Drosophila melanogaster: one gene and its partners. Changing the gene in region 2 together with the main gene of any one other region gives a genetic interaction. Each region holds a gene or a part of one and is shown on either strand. Other genes may lie near its edges.

Evidence for each region.
Region 1: of AMPKalpha (region 2) and ACC, changing one suppresses a phenotype caused by changing the other (phenotypic suppression), as found in Drosophila melanogaster (one study listed by BioGRID).
Region 3: of AMPKalpha (region 2) and Trpml, changing one suppresses a phenotype caused by changing the other (phenotypic suppression), as found in Drosophila melanogaster (one study listed by BioGRID).

Annotation. Positions count from the first base shown.
Region 1 is NT_033778.4:7,984,485-7,990,334, reverse strand, and holds the start of ACC (Acetyl-CoA carboxylase), read left to right. Parts: upstream 1-3,097; 5' UTR 3,098-3,269; exon of another isoform or gene 3,270-3,386; intron 3,387-4,556; 5' UTR 4,557-4,573; coding exon 4,574-4,733; intron 4,734-4,883; coding exon 4,884-5,269; intron 5,270-5,332; coding exon 5,333-5,454; intron 5,455-5,850. Other genes in the region: Nup44A (nucleoporin at 44A), read right to left, coding at 1-210, 272-382.
Region 2 is NC_004354.4:1,372,654-1,378,503, forward strand, and holds the start of AMPKalpha (AMP-activated protein kinase alpha subunit), read left to right. Parts: upstream 1-2,882; 5' UTR 2,883-3,102; exon of another isoform or gene 3,103-3,216; 5' UTR 3,217-3,255; coding exon 3,256-3,534; intron 3,535-4,042; coding exon 4,043-5,512; 3' UTR 5,513-5,850. Other genes in the region: ssx (sister-of-Sex-lethal), read left to right, coding at 1-394, 505-698.
Region 3 is NT_037436.4:19,714,892-19,720,741, forward strand, and holds the start of Trpml (transient receptor potential cation channel, mucolipin), read right to left. Parts: upstream 3,438-5,850; 5' UTR 3,178-3,437; coding exon 2,809-3,177; intron 2,108-2,808; coding exon 1,257-2,107; intron 1,117-1,256; coding exon 378-1,116; 3' UTR 1-377. Other genes in the region: CG42637 (uncharacterized protein), read right to left, coding at 5,553-5,850.

The DNA of each region.
Region 1 (5,850 bases), on a different chromosome or scaffold from region 2:
GCGGCGCACCCAGCGGCGAGTGGGGGTATTGGTGGAGGATACCTTTTCGCCAATCACCTCCTCCCAAACGGAGGCGGTGCGATCAAATGAGCATGTGGCCACAACCTGGCCAAATTCCGGGTGCGCCCAGGAAACGCGCCAAATGGAGCCGGAGTGCGCTTTCCAGCTGCTCGTGACATTCCACTTGCCCTGCCCATCCTCGTCCCAAATCTGCAAGCAGAAAATCCGGATCACCTAGGCTGTTTATCGTAGGAATAATTCGAGTCCTCACCTTGACGGTCTGATCGCTGGAACAGGTTGCCATCCTGCGGCCGTAGTAGTCGAAGACCACGTCGTGTATCACATCCTTGTGGTCGGCAATAATGGGTTCCACGTCGAACATGATAAAAACTCAACTTATTTACCGAAATGTTGTTTATAAAATGCACGCGCCGAAAAATCTGCGCCGGTAATGCAGCCCTACAAGGAGAGACAGGGTTGGCTTGCAAACAGCCGCCGAACAGCTGTTGTTTACCTTGCTCAGTATTTTTTCAGTACGCCCAGGCGAACGGTCACACCGAGTTAGTGGTCCGAATTACGCGTGAAATACGAATAAAAAATCGAGCGAAAAATAACAAAACACAGTACTCTAGTCGATCACAAGCTGATAACGTATCAGCCGTGCCACACGCCCATCCGGGATTCGCGAGAACCACACTAGTCGGAGAGTCAGGACTCCAATAGCCGCCAAGAGGCCGTTTTGCACCCGGAAAAGAACAGTTACACACAACAAAATTGCCAACCGAAAGAAACGTGCGAAGCGCAGTGCGATGGAGAAGAGTAAGTGCGGTAATCTAAGCACTAAACGGGTAATTACGGCCCGATCCTATACGATACGATCCGAGCGAAATGTATGCGCATATGTGTATGCAAATGAGTGGGGTGAACAACCCCACAGCATAGTCGTATGTAGATCGGGACCCGCGTTTGTTTAGCATTTGAATTCGCTGGCTAAAGTGCGGATTTCAATCAAAGTGCAATGGGCAGCATAAATTCCAATTGCTTCCATCTGCAATATGCTCAATATGTCTTGCCTTGCTCGCCCTCTCTCGCTCGCGCACTCGCTGCTGACCTTGATTCCTATTGGATTTTACACATCGCGCGATGCCCGTGACGTATGTGTGTGTGTGTGTATGGGCGAGAGAGCAGCATAGCTGCCAACGTGTGTGTATGTCGGCCGGCATCAATTACCTAATAAGAACTAAATTGGAGACTGCATTTCTTGTTGGTATTGTATTGCATAAATACGATATAAGTATATTTATGAAATATGAGCATATCACAAGGACTCGAATCGGAAATTCAATCCAACGCAGTCACTACAAATTCGTAGTATTTTGCTAAGAAATTAAAAAACAATTTAACTGTAAACCGTGCACTTTACAGTGTCTACAAGATTTCAAGTGTGTTATCACGCACAAATCGGTTGTTTGTTGCTCTGTAGAAATCCTAGAGATAAGCACATCGAAATCAGGCGTTTCACACGCGACCGACTTTCGGTTCTATTATTATTTGGCTGTGATATCAGTAGACGGTTTTTTTCTGGCCACGCGCCAAACATGAATAATTCGAACAGAATCGAACACCGAAATACAAAAATTTCCGTGCGATAAGATGCCGGGAAAGATTTGGAATTGAGCCCGAGCCGAAACCATGAAGACCCGTCACCGTTAAGTATTAATCATAATCGGTCGCCAAGGCCAATGCCGAAATCGGAAGATTTTTCAGGCACTCGCCGCCTATCTGAGATTAAAGCGGGCGTCGCGTCGGGAATTTCTTTTATGACTTTTAAAAAACCTCTGCTGATGCCGGGAGCAGCGAGCATCACGGAATGAAAACAAATCAGCGGCGTTCGCGTGTTCTGCTCGTGGCAGCGCACTGAATTCGTTAATAATAATTCGATTCAAGTGCATCGCGCTAATCAATTTCTGGCGTTTTCGCCCATTTAACCCTAATCAGCATCGCTTGCCACTTACGCCAGCAAATTGAGAAATTATGGTCGTTGTTGTTGCTGCTTGCTGCTCCCAGCAGCAGAGTGCATTTCCGTCAGCGGTTGGGTCAACTCCCAGATTAAGTCCAGCTGGAGCAGCAACAACAACAACAGCAGTACCGAATGCCATCGGCGACCTTGACATTGAAAAGCTACCGCCGCCCATGAGACAGAGATACATGGAAGAGAAAAGAGCGGGACGCACTGCTAGTGACAGAGAGGGGTAGACGGTTGTTGGCAACAGCTGATCGCCATCATCATGTCGCTCTTATCTTTTATCAGCCGCAGACCGTTAAGGTATAATTGCTGTGCAACAGTGGAACTTTCCTATAGTGGAACTCACTGATGTTAAGCTGATTGCGATTGCCGCTGGAAGGGCATGCTTTTATGGTTAGTTTTTATGAGTTTTTAGTTTGGAAACTACGCAAAAAATCCAATATAAAACAAAATGTCATTGTAGTTATTCCAGAACTTGTTGAATCGGTATATACAGAAACCTTATTCATCACTGACGACAATAAAGAAATGATTTTGTTAAATATTTCTCTGGTGCCACTGTACCCAGCATTTATTTATTCGGACATTGTTATGGCATAATTGGTTCACAAAAAGATCACTGAAACCGACGGAGCACACTGGTCGTCATTACTTGAGCCACCTTCATAAAAATTGTTATTAATCCGGCAGGTTGCCCCGCTTAATTCGACCGCCTTTCTGTTCGAATTAGTGGCGCTCCTTGTACATATGTAGTTCTTATGTAGTACATAGTGCACATATATTCCTCCTGGTCACTTGGCGCTGGCTGAGCCAGCAATAAGCAAAACAATAACACAACAACAACAACAACAATTGGCTTGGCGACCCGCGAGACCCGCTGGCGATTAACATACGAGCGCAACAACCTGAACACGCACAAACACAGGTCCGCGCACGAAAACCTGGCCGTAGACGTAGTCAAAGCTATAGCTATAGTTGATATTGATAGTGGCGACGCCGAAGTCGGCGTCCGCTGCGCGTTCGGAGAAGCGGCGTTCAGGCATCGATAGTGCTTTTCGGACGAGCATGGCCCAGTTGAGTTCCAATCGTCGGTCACTGCAGTAGCCATCTAGAAATCGTGCGGAACCAGTCAGTCTAGGAAGTTCAAACCGATCCTACACGGTCTACTACAATCCGATCCGATCCGGTCCGACCTCGTCTTCGAAACTGCCATCACAAGCTAAACAAGGGCACACGCAGAGTGGTAAAGCGAGCTGAAACCGTAGATCTAAATCCTAAGACGAACTAAACCCAAAACACAACCGTATCATATCCAGCCAAGGTCCCGAAAAGTGCTGCCCTAGAGATAATCGCACGTCGAGTAAGATTCTTTTGTTTTCGACTGTTGAGTAATGCCAGCAGAGTTCTTATCACAGGATCGGTGGTAAATAAAGCACAATTAAAAGACTCCATCCATTGCGAGGGTGCGCACTAACGGAGCTACTTGAGTACGGGACCGGGCCACACCTGTTGAGTCGTTTCCAGCGCAGAGTGTAACCCAAGTCCCAGTTCTCTGCGCGATTTCCGAGTAAGCGGTTACATAACACCCCGCTGGTTGCCAGAGATCGATTCCGGTGTCCAATCCGACTTTCCGTGTCTTTCAATGCCCGCCGCCTGGCTGGCACACTTACACACGTGCACACATGTATACTGTAATGCCAAAATCATTGACCTCTTCTGCTGGCCATACCACACCGATTTGCATTTCCTCACACCAACCAACCAACTGGGGGGGTTTTGTTTCTGTCAGCTTAAGTTTCTTCAATTTTCCCTTCGCGCTCTTCGCCGTTTTGTTTTAATTTTAAATGCGCTGCACATTGAACCTCATATCCGAAATTAATTTTCGTGTTTTTAAGTTTTATCGCCCTGCCAAAGGGTATCTAAAGTAGATTATTTAGTAGTGAAGCCATCTTTGACCCGGAAACAGCTTGAGCTCCTGTATTTTCGTATAGTATATTGAAAACTTTGATATGTACTTAGATTGAAACTTTTCAAGTGATATATGCAGGTGTAATAGTGTTGATTAAATCGTAATTCGACACCTGTCACTAATTACGTAGTTGCTAAACATAATATTCACTTGCGCCTTTACAACGTACTTTGAAATACTTATTGCATACTTTTGAAGTCACCCGCTTGATCTGTAGATTAGTTTGAATTTCCCGTAGAGTATACCTTATTCGTTGACCACATCTCTTATCAGCTGCCTCATTGACCTGGCAACGATTTATTTTTGGGTCTCATATGGTTGTTTTTTCGGTTTCTTAATTGTATCTCGCAAACTAGTTAATGCATTGATTAGCATTTTCATTTTGTTTTGTTTCGCCGCTTTGGCCTACAATATCGTGGCAAGGTTTTTGAACTTGAAAAGTATCCGAAACAAGATGATGCACAGGCACTTTCACTATCTACACACTGTAAACTAACCCAGCTAGCTGGCCACCAGATAGCAGATTATCTAATCCGATTTGCATTCACCGATTTAAAGCAGCTTTTTGGATTTAGCCGATGTTGATCACGATATTAGGCACTCTGGCTGCTTTTCTCGCATTCCTCTTGACATTGATCTTTGGCCGCGGCCAGAAAAGATCCAAACCCGTCCAATCGTCTGCAGCAACATCCGCCACGACAGCAACAACTGGCGACAGCGACAACGGCAACACCAATCGTAAGAATCCCCCACTTTGCTAAACCGAAACACTTGAAGGGCACACAAATCGCACACCTAGCTGATAACCCAGTTTAATTAGTTCATTATGTGTATACGACTTTTGACCACGACTCACGCGTACCTTGTTTTCCTTATCTCTGCTTACAGACAACTCCAGCGTGATTGCAGCTACAGCAACGGCAACAACCACCAGCAGCAAGCCTCCTATTGCTCCAGCAGCACCTCCTTCGGCGGTAAAAGCGAGTGACAAGCGATTCCCCAAGGCGTGCATCAAGAAGGTCCAGTTCTCCAGCGAGAGCCTCCGGTCCGACGTGGATGAGCTGTGCGACCAGCTGAAGGATAGCGCACTCAGCAATCTGAGCAACGACAACATTCGCATTGCCTGCCACCAGAACAACAACAACAGCAGCATCAACAAGAACCAGAACAACAACAGCATCGACATCAGCATCAGCATCAGCAAGATGAGCGAAACAAATGAGTCCAATGACACGGCCGCCCAATCCGCCGAGGGCGAGCGGCCCAGCTTTTTGGTACGATTCATCATATTTCCCATCTCTTGGCACCATCACTCAGCCACCGTTTCCCTTCCACAGGTGGGTGATGAGATCGACGAGCGGGCCGCCGAGGCGGGCGAGGCATGTGACGAGTTCCCCCTGAAGATGCAGAACGATGTCCGCCAGAATGGCGATATTTCCGAGCGGCGCAAGCGGTTAAGGTAAGTCGATTTGGGTTTAGCCCAAATGAAAATGGGACAGAAAACATCAGAAGTACATTATGGTTGTGGATAGAAAGCCATTTATTAGACAGAAATTTCTTAAATGAGATTGCGGTCTTTATACTTAGAATTAAATACATTGAAGATAGCATAAGGATATATATGAGGACTTTTAATAATCTAGTTTGTTATTCATATGATTATGATAGGCTAAGCAAGCTATTGTATATCATCATGTTTTCTTTGATTTAAATTAGAAATCCAATAACAAATAGCGCTTAATCTAGTTTAATTGATTCAGTTCAGCATTTCCTCCCAATCTTATCTTCATAATGCTTGCAGATTAGGACTTTTTGAATCTGGCAACCCATCCACTTCAATTAAAGCTATTCTTTC
Region 2 (5,850 bases):
CCGATGCACCCACCTCATCACCACAATAATCACCATCACAACAACCACCACAATCCGCATATGCCGCCGCATCATCATCAGCCGCAGCATCCACACCAGCATCCGCAGCACCATCCGCAGCTGCACCACATGCAGCACCACCATCCCAACAACCACAACAACAATCACCCCAACAACCACCATCATAACAACAACAACAACAACCACCACAACATGGGCGGCCCGCATCCGCACCACATGCAGCAAATGCACCCGATGGGCATGAACATGGGCATGGGCGTAAACATGGGAATGGGCATGGGCATGGGCATGCCCATTCACGGAGGCGGCGGTGGTGGTGGTGGCGGCGGCGGTGGAGGCGGTGGTGGTAACTTCCACCACATGGCGCACAGAGGTAGATCAAATAGAACAACACGATCTCAAAAACCGCATCCATATAACCATGCACAGAAATTTATTTAAACGCCATTAATTTCTTTACACGATATTAGCTGCATCTCACAGGTGAAGTGTTCATGCTGCCATTGCCGATTTGCAGCCGATTCCCCAGCCAGCCGCATCCCGTAGGCAATGGCATTTGCCACAGCCCCAACAAGAACAGCAGATTCCGTTTAAGCCGCCGCCCGCAAGCCTCCAGAACAACCATCAGATATATTGCGCATTCGGTGGCAGATCCCGTTCCCACTCCGACTACCTAGTGCCGCTCTACTTTCCAGCCCCCGCCCATCCATCAGTTGTTTCCATCTCCTCGCCAGCTGCGTCACTTTCGGCCTACCCAGCTGTTTTGGCCGTGTATGTTCCGGTATATGTCACGGTTCCGGTCTCTCTTCCTGTTACCATGAACAGAGCCAGTCCACAAGCTTAAAGTGAGTGCAGACGGAGGCGGCGGAGGCGGTGGCCACATGGTAGAAGCGAGTAGAAATAGATTGAGTGCAATCGGAGGAGGGAAGAGGAGATATTACCCAGAAGCGATATCCAATAGTAGCCAACTCTCTCGCTCTCTATGTGTATGTATGTATCTTGCTATCCATATATGTATATCCATATCAGAGAGCCAGGATTGGTTGAGACCATACGATATAACCCGAAACCACACTGGCCAGGAATAGCAAATCCAAGCATTGGCAGCAAGAGGCAAAGCAAAGGTGCACGGCAGACATAGGCAGTACCACAAGAACACTATCACAGAATTAAGCAGAGCAAATTAAAGATGCATAGCGTGTATTAAGATGTACGAAATAATGTTCCAAAGTTAACCAGCCTACACAATCCCCAACAACACACACACACACACACATAAAGACGGTCGGAGTCGAATCCTTGATCGAACCACATAAGAAAAAATTCCAATGAGTTTGTATGAGCAACATACAAAGCCCCAAACGCAAACCATCAGCCACTCAAGACGAGACGAGAACGCAACCAAAACTCAAATATAACTTTCCTGCACTCATCTCCAGTTCACGAAACAATCTTCGCTCTTGGTGGATTGCGAATTGTAAATGAATTGAGTAACTGCACGGATGCAAAGCCCCAAGATGTGGCGACTATTCCGGCCGGACACTGTGAGACGGACGTTACACACACGGATATATAGAGAGACGAACCTTATGACAACAGACAGAAGACGCTTGCTCTGAATAGATGGTTAATTTGTAGACTTATAAGGAACGTCGACAGCGAGGGTTCGTTCGCGTCACTTGCTTTTTACTACATTATAAATAAATTATTGATGTACTACCAACAAACCAAGAACAAGAACACCACACTATACAAACACCTATATATTAGATAATATATATGAATGATGTATAAATACCCGAACTTCGGGTAAACTTCCAACAGAAACCCGACAAGAAGATGGCTGAATATGAAATAAACTTGAAATTTTCCAACCAGCATACCCGTGAGACCCAGAGGTCCGAAATTTTTTTTTTTTAGTATTGATAATCTCTAAACGTAAATCCTAGTCTCGTAGCAATATCATAGTTAAGGTGACTTTTTTTTCAGAATAAACTTAAAGCACGAAAGAAATACATGTATTTAAACCTTAAATCCTAAAGTTTATAATAAACGAACACAAATTGAATTCTTGAGTCTGCGAGCGAGATGGTGCGATGCAGCCTCAGCGAAAGAGAGCGAGAGAGATGATACAGATTTGAGGTACAGTCAGCACAGTACAGTGCGGATCAGAGCTTAAGTTGACGATATACTATTGTTGTAAATTGATGTTAGGCTAAGCAAATAAATAGTTAAAATGTTCAATTTTCGCTTAGCTGAATCCTGATCGTCGTAAAAACGCATTTACACGAACATTATATACTAGTCATTAAGCGGTTCTATTTGACAGGTGAAAACAAGAAGCTGTGGCAGCCTTTTACTACAGAAACTAAAAAAGAAAAATACAAAGCTTGACATATACACGCATATTTGTGAACAAACTGAATTTTACCATACATCTTTGAGAATTTTAGGACAGTATTCTTGATAATCTATATTGAATGTTGATCTACACTTAACGTTGCACAAAAGAGGTATCTTTCTGACCTTCTATGCGCGTGGAGTGGATCCAAAAAATCAACTTGGTGTAATAAATGTGTATTTAAATCACAAAACGGGCATCTTTTCCCTTTCAATTGGACATCAGAGAGTTTCGACAACGCACACCTACTAGTTTTTTTGCGAGCTTAACTATTTCAAATGTGGTTGAGTAAAGCCATTAATATTGCTTTTTATAAATTCAGCATAAGTGGCAAGATGGTTTTAAATTGCGCGCCACTGCGGAACTACCTGGCATCACTGGCCGCCACTTATCGATAGCCACTGGAAGGCGAGAGAGAGAGAGAAAGAGAGGGCGCGAATCAGCTGCTGGAACGAGTGTTGTTGGAAGGCAGTGTTGTTGGAAGTGGCAGCGCCTTCCAATGTCAATTAAATAAGCAAAACGCGAAGAAAACCCAAGCGTAAAGGAGAGTCTCGTTGCCGCGCTCGAATAGAAATCCAGGAAATCAGTATCAATTCAACCGCCCTTGACACATCCACAACCACTTTGACATCCGAATCCGTATCCGGGCGAGGTGGCACGGCTGGCAGGAAGAACGTAACGTGAGTGGCTGCTCTATTCTATTCTATTCTGTTGATTCAGCGGAGTACACTACGCAATAACCGATAACGACCTTACCACCGCTCCCCTCTCCGCGCCCATCCGCAGCGGAGCAGTGGAGCACCCCCAGTCCAACAAGGAGCTACCTGCTCGAGATGCCCCAGATGAGGGCTGCGGCCGCTGAGGCGGTGGCCGCCGGCAGCGCCAATGGCCAGCCGCTGGTCAAGATTGGGCACTACCTACTGGGCGCAACCCTGGGAACGGGAACCTTCGGCAAGGTGAAGATCGGCGAGCACCAGATCACACGCGTCAAGGTGGCCGTCAAGATACTCAATCGTCAGAAGATCAAAAGCCTGGACGTCGTGGGCAAGATCCGGCGTGAGATCCAGAACCTAAAGCTCTTCCGCCATCCGCACATCATCAAGTTGTACCAGGTGAGTTCATGGCTCCAAGCTTAGACTTTCTAAGTCCAAGCTTTCCAGGAAACTGGGTTACTGGTTTCCTCTTCCAATTACGCTGGCCAGCTACTAATAACAAACAATCAAGCCGCAGTTTAATAAACAAAAAGGCAGGATATGCCCGAAGGGGGAATAGCTTTTCTATAACAACATTTTGGAGGTTTGTTTATCTATAAAGTACACGGTCATGCCTAGTCATCCGAATTTTGTTGCGGAAGGCAAATGCATATCTAGAAACTGGGCCACTGGCTAGACATTCGCAACAGACATAGAAGCCCAACTTAAATGAGCAAAAAGTTTGGAAGGAAAGTTTATAAAAGGAATATGTACGGGGTCTGCTTTGGTTTTACAAGCACATTTTCCCTCGATTTTCGGATTGGATCAGTTACCAATTAGGTTAGGCAGGGCTTGGGGGAACCTAGGGACGGCTGCAGTCATCAGCTGATATAAACGTGCTTGCTAACCTTTCCGTAACTCTCCGAAGGTCATATCGACGCCGTCGGACATCTTCATGATCATGGAGTACGTGAGCGGCGGGGAGCTGTTCGACTATATTGTGAAGCACGGCAAGCTGCAGGAGCACCAAGCGCGCCGCTTTTTTCAGCAGATTATCTCTGGCGTGGACTATTGCCACCGGCACATGATCGTGCATCGAGACCTGAAGCCAGAGAACCTGCTGCTCGACCACAACATGCACGTGAAGATCGCCGACTTTGGGCTCTCGAACATGATGCTGGACGGCGAGTTCCTGCGCACCTCGTGCGGCTCGCCCAACTACGCGGCGCCCGAGGTGATTTCCGGCAAGCTGTACGCCGGTCCCGAGGTGGACATCTGGTCGTGCGGCGTCATCCTGTACGCCCTGCTGTGCGGGACGCTGCCCTTTGACGACGAGCATGTGCCTACGCTGTTTCGCAAGATCAAGTCGGGCATTTTCCCCATTCCCGAGTACCTCAACAAACAAGTGGTCAATCTGGTCTGTCAGATGCTGCAAGTGGACCCGCTCAAGCGGGCCAACATCGAGGAAATCAAGAAGCACGAGTGGTTCCAAAAGGACCTCCCGGCCTACCTCTTCCCCTCGTCCATCGAGCAGGACTCCAATGTGATCGACACCTACGCTGTGGCAGAGGTCTGCACCAAGTTCGGCGTCAAGGAGACCGAGGTGCACAACTCGCTGCTCAGCGGCGATCCGCACGATCAGCTGGCCATCGCTTACCATCTGATCATCGACAACAAACGCTTCGCCGACGACGCGGCCAACCAAATAAACGAGATCAACAACTTCTTTGTGGCCGGCTCTCCACCACCGCCGCCGCCTCCGCCCGTTCCCCAATCATCGATGGACCACCAAGCCCCTCTGGCCACCGTGACCGTTGGCGGAGGTACCTCAGCCAGCTCGGGCACCGCCACACCAGTGCCACCAGTGGCTGGAGGCACGCCTAGCAGCACCATACCCATTCGACCGCATCCGGAGCGGATTGCGCCGATGCGGGACCGTCAACTGGCCATGTCCGTGCAGACATCTGGCGGCGGAGCCTTCCCGGAGAAAACCGCACGTGGCGGCACTCCCATCAAGCGCGCCAAGTGGCATCTGGGCATCCGGTCGCAGAGCAAGCCCAACGACATAATGCTCGAGGTATACCGAGCGATGAAGGCACTCAGCTACGAGTGGAAGATCATCAATCCGTACCACGTTCGGGTGCGCAGGCAGAACGTGAAGACCGGCAAGTTCTCGAAGATGTCACTGCAGCTGTACCAGGTGGACGCCAAGAGCTATCTGCTCGACTTCAAGTCGCTGACCAACGACGAGGTCGAGCAGGGCGACGACGTCATCATGGAGAGCCTTACTCCGCCGCCGCTTAGCGTGTCCGGGGTGATGCCGCTGCAGCCGACCGGCCACCACACCATGGAGTTTTTCGAAATGTGCGCCGCCCTGATCATTCAACTGGCTCGCTAAGGATGAGGTGACCGCCATCGGCCGCAGCGGACCGGATGGGATCTTCTCGGCTGGCGATCCGCACTCGGACAGTCCTGAGGATTGACCATTACCCGGAAGACACAGTCCCACAAAGGAAAGCTGGGGGGAGTTTCGGGCTCCGCGGATCCCGGAGTCTGGCCTTAACCACATGACTAAGTTCTTGCATTCGTCCCAAACCCTTTTGATTTTAATCGGAAACCCAATGTGCAATTATCGGTAGCAGGATTTGGGAATAGATTTTAAAAATGGCCTGCTACTAGACGACGAACAAGAGCTTGGGACTCCGACTCCAGCTTTTCTTTGTGCGGCTGTGTAAT
Region 3 (5,850 bases), on a different chromosome or scaffold from region 2:
TCTTAGTCATTTTTCGGATTTTACTTTCGCAGAAATGACACAAATTCGCCTTACATTTAGTTTTTCCTTTTGGTCTTATACATTTTGTAATTTTTGTATTGAAGAAAAATGAATTTCAGTCAGAATTATATTTCTGCAAACCGAATTAAAGCCATTGCTGCGAAAGATAAAATCGGAACATGCCCGCTGTTTGTGATCAGAGCAGCTGCTTTTGGAATTTCTCATAGGTACGTACGTTATGGTTTCTCTTATCTCGGTTCAAGTGCTTTGGCAAATTAACAAACTAATACAAAAAGCTAACAACAAGTTTGACTACACACATAAAGCTGACAAAACAAAACAAAATGAAGACCTGCGGGTCGACATAGCGCACCCAGTTACTTCATAATACTAGAAAGGCTGGTGTAACCACTGTTGGGCTGGGCGGGCTCCTGATGCCGACCGCACCGTCCACAGCAGCAAATGCTCTTCACCACGTCAAGGAAGCTCGTCTGGTCGAAGTCGTCCAGGTCGGTCATGAAGACACCAGAACTAATGTCCTCTGCAGTGCGCGTTCCGACAAATGCCTTGAGATCGGTGGTGGGAAAGCCATCCTTGTAATACGCCTTTATCGTGTCGTAGGCATCCATTATGACGGCAATGAACAGCGACAGGACCACATAAATGTACAAGGATATGAACGAGTACAAGTAGATCTGGCAGAACCACCACAGCCAGGTGGCCTTGCTGGAAAGCGTGGCAAAGGTGGCGAACATATCATCACCGTTTATCAGCGCAAACAAGCACTCTGACGTTGTAGCCAGCGATCGGAACTTCATGTGATAGGGTCCCAAGATCAGCCAGCCGCAAAACACAAATCCAGCATAGATCAGCAAGGCGGCGATAAGGAAGCGCAGAATCTTTGGTGCCGCCTTTTTCAGCGTCAGTATCACAACGTTGTAGGTTTTGAAGAAGCCGAGGTAGCGCAGCACTCCGAACCAAACAAGCAGGTTGCCAATTCCCAGAAAAAGCGAGCAGGTATCCCATTGGTCCACCACCAAGTACCTTCCCTCGATTTGCTCTTTTAGAGCTGATCCAATGATCAAAAGGACGTCATTGAAAATGATCATGATGTACCTGCGAAAGCAAAACGGTTTATTATAGTCTGCAACCTTTCTGATAATTTTTGGGTTTACGTCGGCCTAACCTTCAGCATTATGGGTAATACTTGTTGCCAATATAGCCGAGGTTTTTATAACACAAAACAAAGGACTCACCAAAAGTTAACGAATTCCAGTCGGCCGTCAAAGCTCAGCTCCTTGCCGAATTGCGAACGGAAAAAGTTGACAGTTGTACATCTCAGCAGATATGCTCTCCACAGAGCCCTTGTACAGAGTGCAAAGGATAGTGCGCATGTTAGTAGGACGAATATATTAAGTACGCTTCGCAGCATGGAATCGAAATTGGCGTCTGATATGAAGTCCGTTGCTCCGTGGCACTTCAGCCGCGTCGCCTCCGCATCCAGTGAGAGCAGCATTTGCCCGTCATGGTCTCGGTTGTTAAACGTTATGGAAATGTCAAACCGAAAACAATCAGGAGCAGAAAGAGGTCCACCATTTGCCTTGAAATTAACCGTCTTTATCTTGAACGTCAACTGTGCGGAGACAAGAGATGCAAAATTGACCTCCACATCGCGCTGCCTGAGGTAATTCTCCACCCCAATGGTGGTTACGTTCGGAGGTAGTCGCTCACACACCTCGTCGATATGTGGATCGAAAATGTAGGACTCATTAAAGCCAAATATGGTGCCCTCTCTATAGTTCTGCAGGCAAAGCTTTAGTGGCGGCATTGTGTTATTGGGCGTCGGGTAGTCGTATGGTCCAATAGATCGGCTTACATTCGCGTAGCCATTGACTGCATACTGCACAGTGTCGAAGAACTCCGATTTGAGGTATAGAGCAAAGGGACCCACAGCAGGCGGATAACTCTCCACCTCCCGGGAAGAATCCCAGCCGCGCAGGAATAGATGTGAGAAGGCAAATCGGTTATCACCCGTGTAGTTGATGTGGTTATACCGCGAGTGGGCAAAAAGGCACAATTGCATCGTCACCAGAAAGATTTTTACAATCTAAGAGAAAAATTCTTGAGTTGCTAAGAAATGTTTATAGTATAACTTTTAAAGTTTCTATTTGCCTTTTGGCCTCAGGGGACGGACCTTTTCTTGGTCGCCAGTTCAGAGATCTAGAGGCTGGGCTATAAATAGAAGCCGAATTATGTTAGAGCATGCGTCAGACTATATTTATTGGGTATCTACAGGAAATCTAATTTAGTTGTAGACCTTAGAGACTAAGTGTAGACTTAAAGACTAGTCATAACATTTTCGCATTAATCATTAAAAATCGCACAAAAGAAATCCCCCTGACCACGATGTTTATCGCATATTAAATAACTTTTTGGGTTCTACAAAAGCGTCCACACGCAGTTTCTAGCCATAAAATTCTTGAATTTTCACTTTGTTTATTACGTATTGTGCTAACAATAGTTGGACCTATCAGATAAGGCATCGATAAGAGTGGAGGGGCTTAACAATGCAAGCAAAGTAATCAAGACTGTGTTGACTCTACCCCATTTTACATGCTCGAAATCTAGACAAACATTGAAGATCGGAGACGGCTGTTTAAAGGCGTCTGTAAATTAAGAGAAATGCCTAAATAAGTGGTTCAGATGTGTCACCCGAGTTCCGCCCCCAAACGCCGCGCATCACACGACTTCAATTAACTAGCATTCATCCAGATGTGAACTGCAAATGAAACCCGGATGTGAACTCACCTGCACAACGAACTTGTACGGAAATTTCCGCTTGGCCTGCCATTTCTCAATGGGGTTCATAAAGAAGAACTGAAGCTTCCTGCGCATTCGCTCCTCCTGGTAAGATGCAGCCGAGGATCCGGGGAATTCGGGCTGCTCCTCGCGGCCATCCACGGAGGGTGGGGCAGTGCCACTACCGGCGGATATGGGCATGGGCACCACCGGGGCCACCGGAGTGGACTGCAGCTGCACTTGGCGCCGCAGTATCCTGGTGTTCACGTACTCCTCGTCGCTCTCCGGCGACTGCTGCTGTTGCTGGGCAGCCTCGTAGCTGTCCGTGCGGCGCTTGACGGCCGGAGCTGTCTGGGCTCCGGGGCCGTAGCTCTGCATCTCGATGTGCTCCTCCTTCGTTGCGAGGTCAAGTCACCTGCGTTGTTGTTCTCCGTGCTAACTTTCTTTTGCCCGCCCAGTCGACATGCAAAAGAAGAATCCGCACAGGCGCAACAAGCAATCGGGGGAGGGGAGGTAAATATGTGTTCTTTTGCAATTAATACGCGACTTTTGCCAGCGAATTTATATTAAATACTGGCCAAAAGACCACGAAAATTGCTTTGTTTTCAATAGGTTTAAACGATTACAGATGTTTATTCGATATAATCGACTGTTCCAAATAGAGTTCAGCATCGATAGTTGCTTGCAATCATCGATTATTTAAATCGCGCGCCTTTTCATCGGTAGTCAAAATTCAAGTGCAGCACGGTGAAACATGAAACATGGAGAACTTTCCTATTTATTTATTTTTTTCCGTTATTTGGAGGTGAATTCCAAAAAAAATTAAATAATGTTAAGAAAGAAAAGATCTAACTATCTATGTACGAGTTCAGTTTATAGAACTCAGCTCTAAATATCGAAAAAATAATTAATTAAAAACTTCCCCGTATTCCAAATTCCGCCGTTCCTCTAACGCAGCTAACTCATCGACGCTACATGGACGTACATTCAAAATTATATTGAGGTCCATCCATTTATTATTCTTTTATGTTCAAGAAATATGACTATTTCCTTTTTTTATATTTTTGAATTTATGAGAAATCAACTTTATTTTGCGGTCTTGAAAACTGCTACCTCATTTTTGACATTGTATTTTACATTAAACATACGTACGTACTTACATATGTCAACATCTGTCACTAATGCTTAGTTATCTTATTAAATTGAAGTTAAAAAATAAACTAAAAGCGTAAAATAATACATAATCATTTGGAGCAAATATAATACTCACAGGAAAAAACAAATGTTTTCTTTCTGCCCAAGAAGAACTCTTGATAAAACCCACGAAGTCTTCCCATACGTTTCACTGTTCCCAGTGCATAAACATTTCAAAAGGAGTTCCAATAAACTAAAAGCGTAAAATAATACATAATCATTTGGAGCAAATATAATACTCACAGGAAAAAACAAATGTTTTCTTTCTGCCCAAGAAGAACTCTTGATAAAACCCACGAAGTCTTCCCATACGTTTCACTGTTCCCAGTGCATAAACATTTCAAAAGGAGTTCCAATGAATCGATGGCTTTAGTTGCAAGAACTTACAGAGATCTTATCGTGAGATCACACTTACAGTGATCTCTTATATGCTTAACATGTTTTTTTGTATTCACCACGACTTCAGAAATGTTTGTCGAAACACAAAACACAACTGTTCCCAGTGCTCGGAATATTTTAAAAATGTTTCTTTTAGAAGAAGTGTTCTCCAAGTTTCTAGTCTTTCCCGCAGGATTCACCCTCGTATCTACCATCTATTGAACATTTTGCACCATTTAAGCATATCTGGACAAACACACTTTTAATAGTTTCTCGTTTGTATTTATATATGGCAAATTTAACAAATTTTCATTTAAAAATATACATACATACATACATACAGCTAAAACACCTCTCATCGGGCGCATTTTCGCTCTTCTCTGCTCACAATTCGCGTTCAATTAATTATAATTATTATTTTAGCTTTAGAGACTTAAATATTACGTACAATCACACGCACTTAACTACGTACTAGCAAAACACATTGATACATTACATTTTTCACGCTCGTTTTGATTTTCAAATACATAAATTAACTAGTTTCTGTTTAAGCATAATTTGTTTGCTGCTGCGCATCGTGTATGGAAAGCAGAAAATTTCGATTACATTTACATAAAATATTTGATTTTGATTCTCCATCGTCGTATAAATATGTGTGTCGTTGTGTTTATGTGTTACATTTACAAACGTACATTTAGATGTGTGGGTGTGTGTTTATTTTATATAAAACAATAACTAGTCTGAAGACCTTGTGACTAGACGGTTTTTTCGGCTTCTCTAATATGTATGTATGTAGAGTTATAAAATATATGCTATGTATGATTTTCGCTTCAGCTTCTGCTCGCTTCTACTTCGGGATCGCAGGATTTTCCTCGAAAACGAATAAAAATAGTTTGGAAACCCATAGGACACATATGTAGAGTCCCGCAATGCCAGAGCGATCAAAGAGTTAAGAACCGGCTGGTATATGTTTATAGGTGGATGACTTCCAACACAGACACACAATTCGTTCGATCCATACAAACTACAATACATAAAACAAAGAAGTAAGCCAAAAGACGATCGTTTCCTGCTCGACTCGGTTCCTGAGTAACTTTTCCATCTCTCTCATCCGGCTATTTAGCTCATCCTGGTCATCCTGCTCCTTCTTCCTTAGTTTCTACACTGCCTTCTCCTTATCTCTATACTATACTCTCACGATCGCGGGCTGCTGCCGATGCCGCCATATCCGTGAATCCGGTTCGTGCGCCGTGCACACCGCTGGGCAGGATTCCTACTCGCCTAGCCTCACCGCTACGCACGCCGTTGCCCTTGAAGATGTTAGTCATCCAGTTAGTCAGCTTACTCCCACCAGCCGCTTTGGATCTATGATGCTGATTGGAGGAACCGCTGAAGAAGTCCAGATCTCCGGGGTGGCGGTTATCAATATCGGCGGCATAGCTAACGCTATTTCCGCCATGCCCACCGGGACCATCCATG